Caenorhabditis elegans: one gene and its partners. The gene in region 3 interacts genetically with the main gene of each other region. Each region holds a gene or a part of one and is shown on either strand. Other genes may lie near its edges.

Region 1 (5,249 bases), on a different chromosome or scaffold from region 3:
AATGATTAAACCTAACCAGACAATCTTTGAATTTCAACAGTTATTCACCAGTCATTTATTTCATCGCATGACTTGAATTGACGTTTAATTCAAATTAGGAAATTATTTTTGACTGAAACAATCGTTTGGCGACTAATTATTTCTGAAAGTCTTGTAATAGTGGAAATAACCAATTTTATTTTATTTCTATTACAAAAGTTGACTCTCTTTTGTGACCAAGTAATATTTAATTTTCAGAAATATTGCTCCCGGTCTCGACACAACAAATTTTGTAAAATGTAGAAAGTCGTGCTCCTTGAAAGAGTACTGTATCTTCAAATTTTCATTGTTGCGGAATTTCCCACAATTTTTCGAAGTTTTTCGATAAAAAATAGATATATTTATTTTAAAAACTCAAATTTCAACATAGCGAGATGAAAATTATGAAAATTCAACAACAACTAAAATTTGAAATTACAGTACTCCTTAACGGCGCACGTGTTTTCATATTTAACAAACATTCGTCGTGTCGAGACCTTGGGTACTGTATTTGTGCCGTAAAATTACTTGGGTTATATCAGATATTGTGCCGCAGTTTTTTTTTGTTTCAATTTTTCCTGACTCCTTGTTTTAGTTTTGTTTAAGCATTTTCCTACTGTACTTGCAAAATGTCTGAAATTTTTTAAGATTACATAGTTTTTAGAAGTTTTGTTTTCAGAAGATAATTTTGGCTAAACAGTACTCTAGTCTACGTGTCAATACAAAGTCTGACAAATTTTGTGTTCTCGAAGTATCTTTCTTCGACCACCAAATCATATTTTATGTGTGTCGATCACAAACCTCAAAAAATGATGCAAACTCTCTGACTATCTGCTTCTATAAAATACTCACCTTCTTGGCAAATACAACTTTCTTTTCACTAATAACTTTTCCTCACGGCGTATCTTTGTTTATTTCAATATACCTCCCTCCCTTAATTCGATTTTTCTTCTGTAGCTTTTGTTTTTTCTTCTTTTTCTTTAACTGTAAGACCAAATTAAGGGGACAGACAGAACAATATGTCTAATGTTCCCATTCATTCACACAAATTGACTGTACATTTTTTTTTGAAAAAAGACTCACTGAATTTGCTATACGATAATCGTATCTCAAATTAAGTTTTTAGTTGAAATTGTTTTTGTAAAAAATTATTTATTACAGTTATATGATAGAAATTCAGATATTTCTCAAAATACATATATTTTAGTGCGACAAACTTGTGGTTTTTGCGCCAAAAACACTGGACCCAGTCTCAACACGCCAAATTTTTGATAAATACAAAAAGGTGTGCACCTTCAAAGTGTACTGTAGTTTCGAACTAACGTTTCTGCGCCATTTCAATCAATTTTTCAGAGTTTTCCTCTGTTTTCGTTTGATTCGGGATTTTTCTAAGTACCTGAAATCACCTGAAAACAGAAAAAAAACACATTTTTGTTTAAAAACTATTTATTTATTGAAAAAATAAAGAAATGCATGAAAACAATAAAAATCACATAAAATTAAACTTAAAAAACTATGGAAAATCAATTAAAATTCAACATTAACGAAAGTTTGAAATTACAGTACTTTTTAAAGGCGCACGCGCATTTAACAAAAACTTGTCATTTTCTCGGCGCAAACATCGCAAAATTCAGCGGCAATATTTTAAAACATGTTTAAACTATAACTTCTTATTTATTTACTTTTTCAATATCTCCCTCTTCCTTTTCAAATAATTCTTTAATTTCAGAAACTCTCATTCTAAACATGCTGGCGTGGATTGTGTCGGGTCTCGACACATCAGACCTTGTGGTGCTCACTCTGCTCGCTGGTGGAGCAATTATATTCCTTTTCATGAAGGTTTTCAATCAGCAACCATCGTCTAGCAGGTACTTTAAAAATAAATGCAGAAAATTATTTTTTTTACATTTGAAATTAAAATTTCAGATACTCGCCAACCGTAGCATCGGTCACCACGTCAGCTGCGGCTTCGAAATCGAATCAATCATTCATTGATCGAATGAAAAATGAGAACCGACAGGTAAATTGATATGGAATTTTAAAGAAAATAGAATCAAAATTCTCTAATTTCAGGTGCTTATCATGTACGGATCTCAAACTGGAACAGCTGAAGAAATGTCTGGACGTCTTGCTAAAGATCTTACTCGTTACACCAAGAAGGCTGTTGTCGTTGATCCAGAAGATATTGAATGTGAAGATTTGAATCGTTTGAGTGAAGTTGAGGATGCTCTTTTGGTACTATGCATTGCCACATATGGAGAAGGAGATCCAACTGATAATGCAGTGACACTTGTTGAATATTTGAATGCTGGAGACTGTGATCTGTCGGGTGTTCGATTTGCAGTTTTTGGACTTGGAAATAAGACTTATGAACATTTTAATGAGATTGGAATTCAAATGGACAAACAACTTGAAAAACTTGGAGCCAAGAGAATCTTTCATTTGGGATTAGGAGATGATGATGCTAATCTTGAAGAAGATTTTATGATTTGGAGAGAAGCTTTCTTGCCAAAAGTTGCTGAAGAATTTGGATGGGAGTTGAACACAGAGGCCGAGACAATGAGACAATATCAATTGGAACCAGTTGAAGAAGGAAAAGCTCTTTTCAAGGGAGAATTTGGACGACTTGGAGCTTATGAACGTCCACGTCCACCATTTGATGTCAAAAATCCATATTTGGCTACTGTTGCGATCAATGATGAACTTCATACCGAACATTCTGATCGTAGTTGTAGACATATTGAGTTCTCTGTTGAAGGATCCCGTATTCGTTATGAAGCAGGAGATCATCTGGCTGTCTTCCCAACAAATGATCCAGTTCTTGTTGATCGTCTCATTAATATGCTTCAATTCGATCCTGATCACGCATTCCGTCTTGTGAACGTTGATGAAGATGCATCAAAACGTCATCCATTCCCATGCCCAACCACATTCCGAACTGCTCTTTCTCATTATGTTGATATTTGTGCTCCAGTCAAATCTCATGTGCTCAAAGCAATCAGTGAATATTGTACGGATGATACTGAAAAGGAATTCCTTAATAAGTTATCAACTGCCAATGAGGAGGGCTTGGTGAGTTTTTTTAAATTTTAATTTTGAAGTAATTGAATTTTTTTCAGAAAGAGTACGCCAGATACATTGTCAAAGAGCGTCGTTCAATTGTCGATGTATTGACTGATCAAAAGACATGTAAACCACCAATTGAGTATCTTCTTGAACTTCTTCCACGTCTTCAAGCCCGTTACTACAGTATTGCTTCATCTCCGAGATTAAATGAGGAAAAGATTGCAATTTGTGCAGTTGTCACTAAATATTCTATTGGTGATCGTGATATCAATGGAGTTTGTACAAGATATTTGACCACCAAGGTAAATTTTTTTGCACATGATAGAAAATGAACCGTAATGATCGAATATAACTTTTTCAAATTTTTTCATAATTTTATCAATTTTGCAAATAAGAAAAATAGCTATTTTCGAATTCCCTAGCAAATGAATCACCCTGTTTTGGCATTTTTGCATTTTCTGGCTAATTTCAATTTAAAGCACAGTTTGTAAAATTTTCAGACATTTTTTCGCAAAAAAATCTTAAATGTATACAAGTTTACTTTAAGAAAAATGTCATAACCGGACGATGCATTTGCGCGGGAATTCAAAAATAATTATCTCTTTTTTCAATTTGCAAAATTGAAAAACCATTTCAAAAAAATTTAGAAAAATTTATTACATTTTTAAACAGTTATATTTGGCCATCACGGTTCATTTTTGTATTTTTTAAAACAAAATTTCAAAAAACTCTCACTGTACTCTCACTCAAAAAACTCTCACTATCACACTTTCTTTTTCCAAAAAAAAATCCAAATAATTTCAGGACGCCGGATCGAAATCTCCAGTTTTCGTTCGTAAATCAACAATGCGTCTTCCCCACCGTACCACAACTCAAGTCATTATGATTGGTCCCGGAACAGGATTCGCTCCATTCCGTGGATTCCTCCAAGATCGTCAATTCCACAAAAATGCCGGAAAGGAAATCGGAGCAATGCATTTGTATTATGGATGCCGTCATCCAGATCATGATTACATCTACAAAGATGAGTTGGCAAAGTTCCAAGAAGACGAAGTGCTCACACACTTGGTTTGCGCTTTCTCCAGAGCTCAGGAACATAAGGTAGGATACCGTGTTTCATTGACTTTTAAATAAGATATTTTTAGATCTACGTGCAAGATCGCTTGTGGGAGACTCGTGATCGTATCTGGGATGCTATTAACGTTGGAGCTCACGTCTACATTTGTGGAGACGCCCGCAACATGGCTCGTGACGTTCAGGCAACACTTCAGAAGATTTTCAGAGAAATCGGAGGAAAATCTGAAACGGAAGCTGTCGCCTACTTCAAAGATATGGAGAAGACAAAAAGATACCAAGCTGATGTGTGGTCATAATTTTCAAATTTCATTTTTGTTCAGTTTTTTTAAAATTTTTCAGTAATTTTTCTGTGATTTAGACAAAATATTGCATTTCCCCCTTTTCCCATTTTTCTGTGATAACCTCCCACCCAATCGCCCAGCTCTTTTCAACCCAAAACAGAGAAAAAAAATCATTCGAAATTCGGGTATAAACTTCGCCTCTCTTCCCTATTTTGCACCCTTTGTCGCCCACTAACCCACTTTTCTAGTTTTTTTTTGTCAAATATATCACAAATTTTCATTGAAATAAACAGAGTCTACAAGAATTATCACAATAAGATTATCCACCAGACAATGGAGGAATTACAGCGATTTCTGTGAAGCGAACCAATTCGAAACGATCTCCGGGGTTGGCATATCTGTAAACGACATATTATAAAGACGCAGAGATGTGCGACGGCCAAAAGTTGGGTCTCGTTAGGTATTGGCAACGACACTTCCGAAAGCTTTCTTTAAAAACAACGCGAAACATAACAAAAATGATGAAAAGCTATTGAAAACATTTCAATTAACAGTTTTGCTGCCAATACCTAACGAGACCTAACTTTTGGGGGCGGAGCTTTTCCATTTGGCCGTAGAGCGCGGTTGCACCTCAATTTTCTGAAAACTCACTCCTGATCCACTGCGAGCATCATAACCTTTTCAATTTTTTGAAGAGCTGGGTAATTCTGAAATATTCAATTTTTTAATTTGAAATCTGTAAATTATTACTTCTAAAATTGTTTTCCGAATCTCTTCATAATCGGTCTCTTCGGGAAAATCAATCTA
Region 2 (4,263 bases), on a different chromosome or scaffold from region 3:
GCAGAAAGAATTTCTGACCTCCAAACTTTTCAATCTGTAACAATAAATTGTACTTGAATTATGAACTGAATTCCAAAACTCACATTTGCATACCAGTCACCTCTTTTCTGCTTCTGAAGTAACATGGGTGTCCATATTTTAAAAAGATGCTCATCGTCATCATCATTTGTTTCTCCTAATTCGTTGGTTCCTTTGTTTTCTACCAATTTTCCTTTTAGAACTGCTTTCAAATCATGTGTCTGATCCCAAATAGCACAAGCAGAAGGCGATATCCAGTCGAGAATCCTGTTACTTGGGGCTCCAAGAGCTGATTCAACGTTCTTAAGAATTACGTTGAAAATCCATTCCAACTCGTCTTCAGAGCATCTCTTAACGAGTTTCGACATCTTATCTCGTTCTGAAAACTTTTTTTTGAATAGGAAAAGGTGTAAGCCAATAACTGACTGTTCCCATCATCCATTGGTCCCGCCGCTAAGAAATCAAGAATTTCGTTCAACTCGGAAACCGTGACTACTGTAGATTCATCATTTTCAGTTCTATATTCTTCAGAAATCTTTTCAGCCAACTGACGAGCTGCTGTTGATGCATCTTTCGAGATAGTTGATACGTAATCAGCCCTGACGTCGTGAAAAGTTTTTGCCATAAAGCTTGCCAACTTAGTCGGTCCCATGTCGAACTTTCTGAACCTCTCGTAATCCGAAACGAAGAACCGTATTATGACAAACATATCAGATGGATCAGAACCTGAATTTAAAAGAATAACGTCACATTGTAATAGTTCGCCCAATTGTCTTACACTTTTCTTTCCATGATTCAAAGTTTTTCTGAAAGGTTGCTTGCTTTGATTTCACATTTGAAGTCCGCCGAATCTTGTTGAAGACGTCAACTACTTCGTCGAAGATCACATCTGACGCCATGAAGATTCTTCAAAAATAATTTTATTGAACATCTATTCGGAATAACGAACGAAAATAAATAAACAAAAGTATGCACAAATTTGGGAAAGAGACGGACAATGAGGGGTAAAATGGGAAAAATCGATTATGAAATATGCTCAATTAGAGCTCTTCGGCTCTTCGTTCTTTTTGTGCTCGACGTGGCCACGACAATGACCGGTTTCACAATCCGAATCAGAATCCGAGCTTGAGTCTTGCCAATTTTTGGGCTTCTTGTAGATACAACAGCATTTGCTCTTCTTCTTGCCCATTCCTTCGTTATCCACTGTTTCGGTGGCCCAAACTACGTGTCGCCGTTCTGAAGTTGATGGCTGAGCTGGATTTGGACTAAGATGAAGCACCAAGTTCTGTTCTCGAGATGGAGGAACGGTGACAGTAGAGGTTTCAGTGCTTGAAGCAGTTTGTTGTTGAGTGTGGCTCATGTTCTGTAATTTAACAATATTTTTTTTTAATTGAACGAAAAATAGTGGAACAAAAAATAAGCCTGACAAATTCTCGTGAAATCAAGTAAACAGCAACAAAAATGTTTCATAATATTTTGTCCGAGTGGACTTCAAAAGACTGCATGGCCTAGAATCCAAATTCATTCCTCGTCCCCATGTGGTGAACTCCTCTCGGACAACTTATTCGAAGAACAATTTTTCATCGAATATTCGATCGAACTTCAATTTATATCGATGTTTCTTCTATTTTAGTGCAAATTTTAATCAAAAAAATTAAACCTTTTGTCAACATGGCGCGAAATTTTCCCACTGCTCTCGATTACCTGGGATCAGAAGCTGAAGATTTTAACAAGGCGCAACACTTGTATCTGAAACCGATGGCTGTTATAAAAATTACCGTAGTGCTGCCTCGGGTACGTTTTTTTAACTATCATAATTACATCGATTTATTATTTAATTGTAGATGACGATCCCGGGACAATCAATATCTAATTGGGATCTCATGGAAAGACTAAAACGTGCAATTGATCCAATTCAAATGGATTCTTGCAAAGTTCGTGAGAGCAATATCGACAGTGTTATTTTTGAAGCGGAACTTCTTTCGCTAGGAATCATGCAGAAAACGATGAAGATTCTCGATGGATTCTCTATGAAAGTGTCTGGATTTGCTGAGCCCTTGAAAGTTAAAACAAAAGAGGCAAAGCTTGATTTTCCAAGTCGTCATGATTGGGATGATTGGTTTATGAAACATAAGATGGACGAGATGAAACCCGGAGAACGTCCTGATACAGTTTATTTGGCAAGAATTCCAGTGAAATGGTTCTGCGTACGTTGCTCCATAACATTGCATTCGAATTTATTTCACCAAACACATTTTTAGGATGGTTACAATGATCTTCCTTCTGAACGACGTCTTCGCGTTGCAATGGAAGCGTTCGGATCTGTTAGAGTTGTCGACATTCCAATTTGTGACCCACTCCGATCTCGAATGAATTCAAAAATCTCTGGTATTCAGCAAAAAGGTTTCGGATTAGGGCAGGTATCGCAGTGTTTTATTTGTAAAATCAAACGAATTGAATTTTTAGGATGTATTTTTTGAAGCATATGTGCAATTTATGGAGTATAAAGGTTTCGCCACTGCCATGGATTCCCTGAGAAATCGTAAATGGGCAAAACGAATTGATGGACGGTTCTTTCAGGCTAATGTCAAGGTATAGTAGGGTAGTAGAGTTAGTTTGCAATTTTGAAAAATCTATCACATTATTTCTAAACGTTCAATATCAATTTTAAAAATTGCATATTCTTCGCTGAAACGAATCACCTCGTGCCACTCTACAGGTTAGTTAATTTCCCAGAATTAAGGTTGAGAAATAGCTTAAAATTTCATAGGTGGATTTCGATCGATCACGTCATCTCAGCGAAGTTCAAATTGCAAAGCGAGCGGAAGAACGACGTCAAATTGAAACGGAACGACTGCGGCAAGAAGAAGAGGAGTTGAATATCAAGTTTGTTGATGCTACAATTTTAAAAATAACTCACCTCTTCAGACGTCAAGAAGAACTGAAAGTTAAACAAGAACTCGATGATAAAGATAGAAGACGAGAAGATAGAGAACGGAAACGCCGCGAAAAGGTTCACTTGAAACGTTTCAAAAAATCATAATAAAACATACGAAATTTCAGAGGGAACTCGAACGAATGGCTGAAGAAGAGAAAAAACGCCTTGAAAAGGAACGACTTGAAGCAGAGCAACGATCACGAGCCACTCGCCGTTTGCAAGGTGTTCGTCTTTTGAAGTTTCTGTTTGAAAAAATTGAAGCACGAGAAGAGAGACGAAAGAGAAAAGAAGAAGAAAAGTTGAAAGATGAGCTGAGCAAAATCAAAGAACTTGAAGAACAACCTGTAGAACAAGAAGACGCATTGAGGCAAGCTCTACTTCAGCAGAGGGAAATTCGAATGCGAGAACGCTTGAAAGAGAAGATGAAAGCTTCAGGAGCAGAGAAGGATAAGAAGAGAGATAAAAATAAGACTTCTAGAAGAAGACGAACTAATAGACATGACAGTGAGTTACCTTAAAATTATTGTCTATTTTTTAATTAAACTTTTTTTTTCAGCTTCATCCTCTTCATCCGAAGATTCTGATTCTCCATCTGATTCTCCCCACTCTCGTCGACAAAGAAAACGTCAAAGTGAAGGAGATGATTTCCGGAGACATCATCATCGGGAGAAAAGTAGAAAACGTGGATCCTAAGAAAACGCGGATCCTATTTTTGTTTCCTATTATTTTACCGGTAATTTCACTTTTTTTAAAACATATTTTTTGATTTTTTTTTCAGAATCTCAATAAACGTATTTACCTCTATTTTTTCTCGTGCATTATTAAACCCTAACCTGGTTTAATTTACTACTCCACGTTCAATTACCTTTCCTGAACGCGAGCTTCGCATTAAAAACAAATTTTCAGATGAATTTACGAAGTCGCCTGGTAAATGCCACGGAACGTGCTGTGCTTTTTCAAATTTTCAAAGATGTGCAGAATGATCCGGAAAAGTACGACAATGCAGTTGAGGCGATCTGTGAATCAATCGACTATTTTGGCAAATTTTTGACCGATAGCGAGGTATTGTCCTGAATTCAATATTTGTGTAATGTTTTATATTTCTAATTGTAGTATCTTACACAAATCAAGCCGATTCTTGATACACAGTGCCCAACAAAGTCGATAATTTGCTTCTCGAAATGTTTGACAAAAGTGAGCACAGATATAAATACTACCACATTTCGAGATGTGATCACCATGCTCGACTGGTTGAAGTATGTCGTTGAAAAATCGCTGACAAGTGCTATTTGTAGCAGTCTGAAAGT
Region 3 (8,013 bases):
CATATCGTTTAATGATAATTGTAAGCTTTATTGTATCCATTTCATTGTTTTCATTCAATTTTAGATTGCTTTAATAAATAGAAGAGATTTACGGCGTTAAATCATTTGTTACTTGTTTTGTCCTCCTCGTGACATTGAATGAGGTGGTGCCGTTCCACTGCGCGTGATATATGATACGCAGCCAATTCTCGGTAGACCCGCTTACTTCTTCGACCTTTCGCATTTAATTGCATTCTGATATCTATTTTCATATTGACCACATGTTGTTCACCTGCACACTGTCAAAATGACTCATTTACAATAACTTTTCGCGTTCGAGATTTATAAAGGAATGCAACACAAACAGGTGCGCGTAAATAAAGAAAAACCGAAATTGAATTAGCTTTTGCATCTAAATATGTCGCCTACAATTATCCCGTGTTCTATCATTTTTGGCGACTGACTGCCTTATGCGCAATGCCCAATCACTAACCCCTTTTCTTTTTAACGCATCTCTTTTCTCATCATTGTCCATTCTCGTTTATCTCTCCTTCTTTTTCTAATTCCCTTGATTTTCTCTCACTTTCTGATTGCATTTTTCTATATTGATTAGCCTGTAGACACATACCAAATACTCCAAAAAATAAGACCCACAGCAACAAAAAACCGACGCCTATGTTGTCGGTTACCGTCTCATGATTGTAATGCCCCCTTCTCTTTTTCTTATCACTCTTTTCTAATGGAATTCTTGGGGGCAACAAACTGGTTTAATGACAAAATTGAAACAAGAAATCCATTCACCTACCTGTTAAAATTGAGTAAATGATGTGACATTTGAATTAATTAGACTCGCAACTAACCATCTCGTATCCGCGATAAGCATCTCTTGGAATGTTGGTCACACCCTGTTGTGCAACTATTAAGTTTTGAAATTACAATTTTATAATACATAACTTCTACAAAAAAGTGCCTAGAAATCGCACAGATTAAATTACACTTCAATAATCAAAAAGCTGGTTTATAACTAAATGTTCTAATCATTAATCACAACCTAAGTTTTTTATGAACATTTTCTTTTTATTTTTTTAGGAATATTTAGATAGAATGTTTCACTAAAGAAGTATCTCATTATTTTGAAAACTAGCCTTATAATCTCAAATTTGATCTAATTTAAACTATTTTATATGCAATGTATGACGTTGGTTTTGAAAAGTTACCATAGCGTTATTACGCTTACATCAGCTGCTAAAATTTGTTTTTATTATACATAACGAGTTTTTATAAAACCTCAAATTGCTCTAAAAAAATTACATAACTCTATAACATAGCCGTGATCATTGAAAAGATAGACCCACTTTATTCGCTATATCATACTGCAAGACTAGCAATAAAAAGTTACATTGTGTCCGGAAATGTTGAAAGGTTTTTGTTTCCGTAACATATGCACTGCATCCGGAAGAAACACCTCCAGATGTGACTTCTTATTCAAGGTTTTGCTTCGATATCAATCGAAACGGCATTGTGTCATTCCACCTTGTCGGCGAAGACAACGAATCCACAACATCTTAACATCTGGACGTCTTTCGTCGTCTCAATTTGACGCTCGTTCACTTTTTACTCTTTTTATTATCGCCCTCCGCTCGCTGCTCGTTTTTTTTTTCTATGAGCAACATATGCGTAAATTTAGACGGTTCTAATTATGATTTGCTTTAGTTTCTTGATTGTTCCCAGAGATCATTAGACCTTATGACCCAGAGGGTCGGAACTTTTGAAAACGTTGCGCGGGTGTCGCCAATTTGTTACATATGGTGGTGGGGTATGGAGCCAGTAATATATAACCCATGGCTCGCGCAGAGGTACCAGTAAGAACCCAACAAATAAATCTTTGTACCGGTCTGATTCACCTCTCTCACATGTATTCAATTTCAAAAGTTTCACAGCTTCTCCTTCTGAGTGTTTTAATATTTTGATTATTAGTAGATAAATAGTAGATACAAAAGATTGCAGAAATTCGAATGTTTGCCTGATACATATCATCATGAGTTATTTCCTTGCATCCTGCCTCGGTGTGGGCTTACTTTCTACAGTTTCTTGTTCTCTTCAAGGATTGACCAGTCATTACAGAGGTAAGAGAGTTGTCACAAAATCTAATTTATTTTCATATTATTCGATTTTACAGAAAATATTCCCCGTTTCAAGCATGTAGCAAACGAAAGATACGAAGTATTTCTTGGAGATGAGGTTTGGTGGAACAAATATTTAACAGCAATAGATGTACACAGTTTTAGATAAAATTTGACTGTCAAACCGCGGCGTCAAAGATTTCTGCCTTTGTCGAATGGTATCGTAATGACAAGTTACTCAAAAATGATCAAATAGATAAAGACAAAATTCGGAAAGATAATAACAGGATGATGCTTCACTTGAAGAATATTGATGTTTCAGATCAGGTATATGATTTTTTATTATTTTTGTGGTTTTTTTTTTGTTGAACAATGTGGTTAGAACACCAAGTATCGCATTTCTCCTATTAGAATTGCATGCATTTCTATTTTTTTAATTGACAATTTAGAGTGCAAAGACTGATAGGAATTCAAGACTAACATACACTATGAAACTGTATTTCGATGTCTCGTTTCAAATTTGGTTTTTCTTGTTTTTAACCTAAAATACTGGAGTTACCTAAAATACCGTAAAGAAACAATACAACATGATAATTAAAATGATTTAATGTTTGAAAAATGTTTGGAATTATTAAAAAAAAACATTTAACCAATAAAAAATATCTTGTAGATGCTAAAGTTTGTGTGATATCTCTTGCGCGTGTTTAGTTCTGCAAGAATAATATGAAAGAAAATAGGAAAAAAAACTATAACCGACTACCATGAGTTTTAAGCATCATCAAAAATATATATTAATTCAAAAATACCAACAAACTGAGAACTTTTTTCAGCAGTTTTTGACTCTGTCAACTTAAAAAAAAACGTTTATTTAAAAACGTTTAAAAACGTTTAAAAACTAATATTTTTGCAGGGTCTTTGGTCTTGCCGCGTACACAACGCATATGGACAAATATCACGAAATTTTACAGTTGAAGTTATTGGTAAGTATCTCTATTGCTCGATTCTTTGCAGTGCAAGCATAATTTCTTCCATGCATGGTGTGCTTTGTTTTCAGACTTTTGTGATTACTTCCTGTTTCCCGATATTCATCATTTGAACATTCCGATGGAATGTGTTTGTTTATGGAAATACAACAAAGAAGCAAAACGATCTGATGTGAACTATGCAGCGGTAACAGGAGAAGTCTGCTCAAAGTACGCATCTCGCATGATAAATAGAGCACGAAAACCGTTGCCAATGATTCCTTGCTTTGGTGATCACTGCAAAGAATTTGACACTACTCCTGTTTCGGATTTTGGTTTACCTGGGAAACCCGAGGACGATCCTTTAGTAAAGCGTGTTGTTTTGAAAAAAGATGATGTGATTGTGCCCGTGCATGACTCTGAAGAAAGTCCATCCGAATCCAGTAAGTTATTTCAGATCCACTTAAACTGTTCGATTGGCTCACTGAGCATCGAGTATTCGATATTAGTCATTTATTGCCAAAATTGCTACCTCCTGCGGAAATGAGGAGAGTGAAAAGCCAATTGGGCGGATGGGAGAAGATGAATAATGAACAGAAAATTGTTCGAGCCAGGCACATTCTGAGATTAAGACAGATCAATCATGCTTTGGGTAGGCTACATCAGTGGTTGAATTATTTTAAATGCTTCATTTTCTTCTTATATATCTCAGTAAACTTGTTTTTAGGAACCGAATTTATCAATGCTGATGAAAAAGAAAACAAAGAAGACGAAGAAGAAGACTATAGTGTTTCACAACCGGTTGCTCCAGATGCGGGGCTCACTGAGCTGAATATTACTGCGGAAGAGCCACCATATTTCAAGTCAAACGACAACATTGTATTGTTTAATGAAACGCATGCTCTACCAGCAGGACGAACATTGAAACTTAATTGTCGCGCAAAAGGATACCCTGAGCCACAGGTACGATTCATGAAAAACTTGAAATTTTTCACGTAAAGAAACATTGGATTTTCAATCAATGCATTTGATCACAGATTATCTGGTACAAAAACGGCAAAATGTTGAAGAAAAGTAGTGCTCGGTCCGGCGGATACGAATTCAAGTTCAATAGATGGTCTTTAGAAGTGGAAGATGCTGTCGTAGCAGATTCTGGGGAGTTTCATTGTGAAGCATTGAACAAAGTTGGAAGTGCAAAAAAGTATTTCCATGTGATCATAGTCAACAGAATGAGAAGACCGCCCATTATCGTTCCGAATATTTTGGCTAATCAATCAGTAAGATTTTGCCTCACGGCATCTATAGTTTCAATGTTTTATATTTAGGTAAATATTAATGACACTGCCACATTCCACTGCAAAGTTGTCTCTGACTTATTGCCTCATATTATTTGGGTACGCATCAACAAAATCAATGGGTCGTATAGCTACTACAACAATTCAGCTGAAGAGTATATGTTCAATTACACAGAGATGGACACTTTTGATGTATGTTATGAAACATGTTCTCATCTATCAAAAAGTGTCGTTTCAGAAAGCGCACGTCCATCACGTTGGTGATGAATCGACGCTTACTATTTTCAATGTGTCGCTGGATGATCAGGGAATATATGCTTGTCTCAGTGGAAACTCACTGGGGATGGTAAGAAATTGATTGAACCTTCTAGTTGAACAAATTAAGAGTTTTACAGTCGATGGCGAATGCCACTTTAACGGTGAATGAGTTTATGGCCATACATTTGCTCACTGGTGACGAACCGAAGATAGATAGATGGACAACATCCGATTATATATTTACAACAATTCTGCTTTTCTTACTGCTTGCTGCAACATTATTTGGAATTTTGTTTATGGTGTGCAAACAAACACTACACAAAAAAGGATTCATGGATGATACTGTTGGATTAGTGGCAAGAAAAAAAAGAGTCGTAGTTAGCAAAAGGCCAATGAATGAAGATAATGAGAATTCGGATGATGAGCCATCACCTTATCAAATTCAAATAATAGAGACTCCAATTACAAAGAAAGAAGCAGCGAGAAAACAAAGAAAACGTATGAATTCAGAAAACACTGTTCTTTCGGAATACGAGGTTGATTCGGATCCAGTTTGGGAAGTTGAAAGATCAAAGTGGGTCAAATCTTTAATACATTCAGCCAGACAAGAATTCAATTTAAACATTAAATTTCAACGTTTAGATTGAGTTTGGTTCACATGCTTGGCGAGGGAGCATTTGGAGAAGTTTGGAAAGCAACATACAAAGAAACAGAAAACAATGTAATTTTGGGAAAACAAAAAAACAAGAAAATCTGAAATTTTAATTGCGTTTCAGGAAATCGCAGTTGCTGTCAAAAAATTGAAAATGTCAGCTCACGAAAAAGAGCTCATTGACTTGGTCAGTGAAATGGAAACATTCAAAGTTATAGGAGAACATGAGAACGTGTTGCGATTGATTGGATGCTGTACAGGCGCTGGTCCGCTTTATGTCGTTGTTGAGCTGTGCAAGCATGGGAATTTGCGCGATTTCTTGAGAGCACATAGACCTAAGGAAGAGAAGGCAAAAAAGTCCAGCCAAGAATTGACGGATTATTTGGAACCACGAAAAGCATCTGATAAGGATGACATTGTGAGTGGCTTATGTTTTGAATAAAATATGATTTTTTCCACTGACAAAATTTGAAATACTCATCAAACTTTGAAAATCTTGTAGAAAAGCGTTTTCCTGATTGCTCATTATCAGTAAACCTGTCTTAGTCAGTTTTAAATTTACCAGAGTAATTTTGCTGAAATTTTCATTTTTAGGAGCTCATACCAAATTTGACACAACGCCATCTTGTACAATTTGCTTGGCAAGTGGCTCAAGGAATGAACTTCTTGGCATCAAAGAAGATCATACATCGTGATTTGGCAGCAAGAAATGTTCTCGTCGGTGATGGACACGTTCTGAAAATATCGGATTTTGGACTATCGAGAGATGTGCACTGTAACGATTATTATAGGTTGTAACATTATTCCTAATGATATATTACTGATGATATATTACTTCCAGAAAACGTGGAAACGGCAGACTTCCCATTAAATGGATGGCTTTAGAAGCGTTGGACTCAAATGTATACACCGTGGAAAGTGATGTGTGAGTAATGGTTTTCTGTGGTAGAAAAGTTTCGTGGAGGTCCTTTCCAGGTTCACGTTTGAAAAAAATTGATTTTTCAATATAATCACATATGTCTTATTTGTCTTTTCACACAAGTTAATCATCCTGAGTCAACCTGAGCATCTGAATCGGGATAGCTGTATATTTATTTTACTTATTTTGGGTTTTTAGGATACAACGTTTTAGGATTTTAATTTAGGGAAAAACATTAAACATAAATATATTTGTGATATGTCTGAATTGAAGTTGTTTCCCGCCTGTGGAAAAATAGTTATAAAAAACTATTGAACGACAATTTAATTTAACAAAAAATATATTATTCAAATTTGAATATCAAAAAAAAAAAATACTATTGCTTCCAAAACTATCACTCTGTGAACAATGCATTCACCATTTTTCTTGGCACGCTTTTATTTCAGTTTTCCATTTACATTTTTTGGGGCAATTTTAGGGCACGACAGTGGTTGTGTACCAAAATTAATACTATAATGACTCATTGATACTTTTGTAGATGGTCATATGGAGTTCTCCTTTGGGAAATCATGACACTTGGTGGAACTCCCTATCCAACGATTGCCATGCCTGAACTCTATGCTAACCTCAAAGAAGGATACAGGTGAAAATATTGAGAAAAACATGCAAATCTCACCTGTCTGACATGTTTTTGCAGAATGGAGCCACCACATTTATGTCCCCAAGAAGTCTACCATTTGATGTGCAGCTGCTGGAGAGAAAAATTGGAAGAACGACCATCTTTTAAAACAATCGTAGATTATTTGGATTGGATGTTAACAATGACAAATGAGACTATTGAGGGATCACAAGAATTTAATGTAAGGTCATACATCTGTGACAACATTTTTGAGGATATTTTCCAGGATCAATTTTTCTCCGAAAGATCCACGGCATCAGGTCCAGTTTCTCCTATGGAGTCATTCCAGAAAAAGAGAAAACATCGCCCTCTTTCAGCTCCAGTGAATCTTCCATCAGAGGTAGATCAAAACGTAATTTCGTACATAACGTATTTAAATTTTAAAAGAATTTAACCTATGAATTCGGAATCCATAAAGCACTGTTTTTGCAGCCACAACACACAATTTGCGACGACTATGAGTCCAATTTTTCTGTAGAACCACCCAATGATCCGAATCATCTCTACTGCAATGACAATATGCTGAAAAATCACATTATTACACCGGAAACCTCTCAACGTATTCCATCAAACAACAATAGCATGAGCAAACCCGAATTTTGACCGTTTTTAGTGTACATCCACAAAGTGCTCAACGAACCAATCGGAAACGGGTATGTTCGACAAGATAAATTAGCTCGTGCCGTCAGCGGTGTTGCCAACCAATCTCTCGACTCTGCCCTCGGTTCACCAGCTTGGCCTTCGTACGACCGTCCCTCTAACAAAGCTTCTTGTTTAGGTTCGTTTTCAGTTCGCTACTGACATTTAAGTTCAGGGCAACGATTTCAATGAATTTATAGATGATGAGAAGCATCACTACTATTACTCATAGTAGTCTCTCCGCCGTTATCAGATGTCATTTAAAAGTCCATTGTGGTAATCATGTTTCCGTGTTGTGTGTTTTTGTCCTGTAACATTTTTGTTTGGTGTAATGGGTTGCAGAACATCAAATCACATAAGTTAGCTTACAGATTTGCCTCCGTCAAGTGTCCAGACTAACATGACACTTATAAATGTTGTGCTATGTAACCTTTAAAGTTTCATTTGCAGATCAAACTCACCAGTATTATAATACAACGTCTAAAATTCAATATCTTCATTTTACCT

Evidence for each region. Genes that interact genetically often act in the same process or in processes that back each other up.
Region 1: changes in egl-15 (region 3) and emb-8 together harm fitness more than expected from each alone (negative genetic interaction), as found in Caenorhabditis elegans (one large-scale study listed by BioGRID).
Region 2: changes in egl-15 (region 3) and akap-17A together harm fitness more than expected from each alone (negative genetic interaction), as found in Caenorhabditis elegans (one large-scale study listed by BioGRID).

Annotation. Positions count from the first base shown.
Region 1 is NC_003281.10:5,196,176-5,201,424, reverse strand, and holds emb-8 (NADPH--cytochrome P450 reductase), read left to right. Parts: upstream 1-1,747; 5' UTR 1,748-1,764; coding exon 1,765-1,886; intron 1,887-1,944; coding exon 1,945-2,038; intron 2,039-2,091; coding exon 2,092-3,090; intron 3,091-3,137; coding exon 3,138-3,386; intron 3,387-3,888; coding exon 3,889-4,185; intron 4,186-4,229; coding exon 4,230-4,457; 3' UTR 4,458-4,745; downstream 4,746-5,249. Other genes in the region: moc-6 (Molybdopterin synthase sulfur carrier subunit), read right to left, coding at 4,762-4,840, 5,094-5,149, 5,193-5,246.
Region 2 is NC_003281.10:7,518,124-7,522,386, reverse strand, and holds akap-17A (RRM domain-containing protein), read left to right. Parts: upstream 1-1,600; 5' UTR 1,601-1,689; coding exon 1,690-1,812; intron 1,813-1,862; coding exon 1,863-2,225; intron 2,226-2,279; coding exon 2,280-2,438; intron 2,439-2,484; coding exon 2,485-2,610; intron 2,611-2,788; coding exon 2,789-2,904; intron 2,905-2,946; coding exon 2,947-3,031; intron 3,032-3,081; coding exon 3,082-3,460; intron 3,461-3,512; coding exon 3,513-3,649; 3' UTR 3,650-3,759; downstream 3,760-4,263. Other genes in the region: lig-4 (DNA ligase IV), read right to left, coding at 1-34, 84-397, 445-744, 797-917; C07H6.2 (E3 ubiquitin-protein ligase PPP1R11), read right to left, coding at 1,055-1,378; Telomere length regulation protein clk-2, read left to right, coding at 3,863-4,018, 4,070-4,263.
Region 3 is NC_003284.9:11,014,424-11,022,436, forward strand, and holds the start of egl-15 (receptor protein-tyrosine kinase), read left to right. Parts: upstream 1-1,976; 5' UTR 1,977-2,017; coding exon 2,018-2,105; intron 2,106-2,158; coding exon 2,159-2,220; intron 2,221-2,267; coding exon 2,268-2,429; intron 2,430-3,012; coding exon 3,013-3,082; intron 3,083-3,156; coding exon 3,157-3,507; intron 3,508-3,521; coding exon of another isoform or gene 3,522-3,716; intron 3,717-3,791; coding exon 3,792-4,027; intron 4,028-4,101; coding exon 4,102-4,341; intron 4,342-4,389; coding exon 4,390-4,551; intron 4,552-4,597; coding exon 4,598-4,705; intron 4,706-4,754; coding exon 4,755-5,191; intron 5,192-5,259; coding exon 5,260-5,338; intron 5,339-5,393; coding exon 5,394-5,687; intron 5,688-5,863; coding exon 5,864-6,060; intron 6,061-6,110; coding exon 6,111-6,194; intron 6,195-6,726; coding exon 6,727-6,831; intron 6,832-6,885; coding exon 6,886-7,048; intron 7,049-7,093; coding exon 7,094-7,207; intron 7,208-7,299; coding exon 7,300-7,426; coding exon of another isoform or gene 7,427-7,470; and 7 more. UniProt on the Caenorhabditis elegans protein: Receptor tyrosine kinase required for larval development. May phosphorylate adapter protein soc-1 which in turn may result in the recruitment and/or activation of phosphatase ptp-2.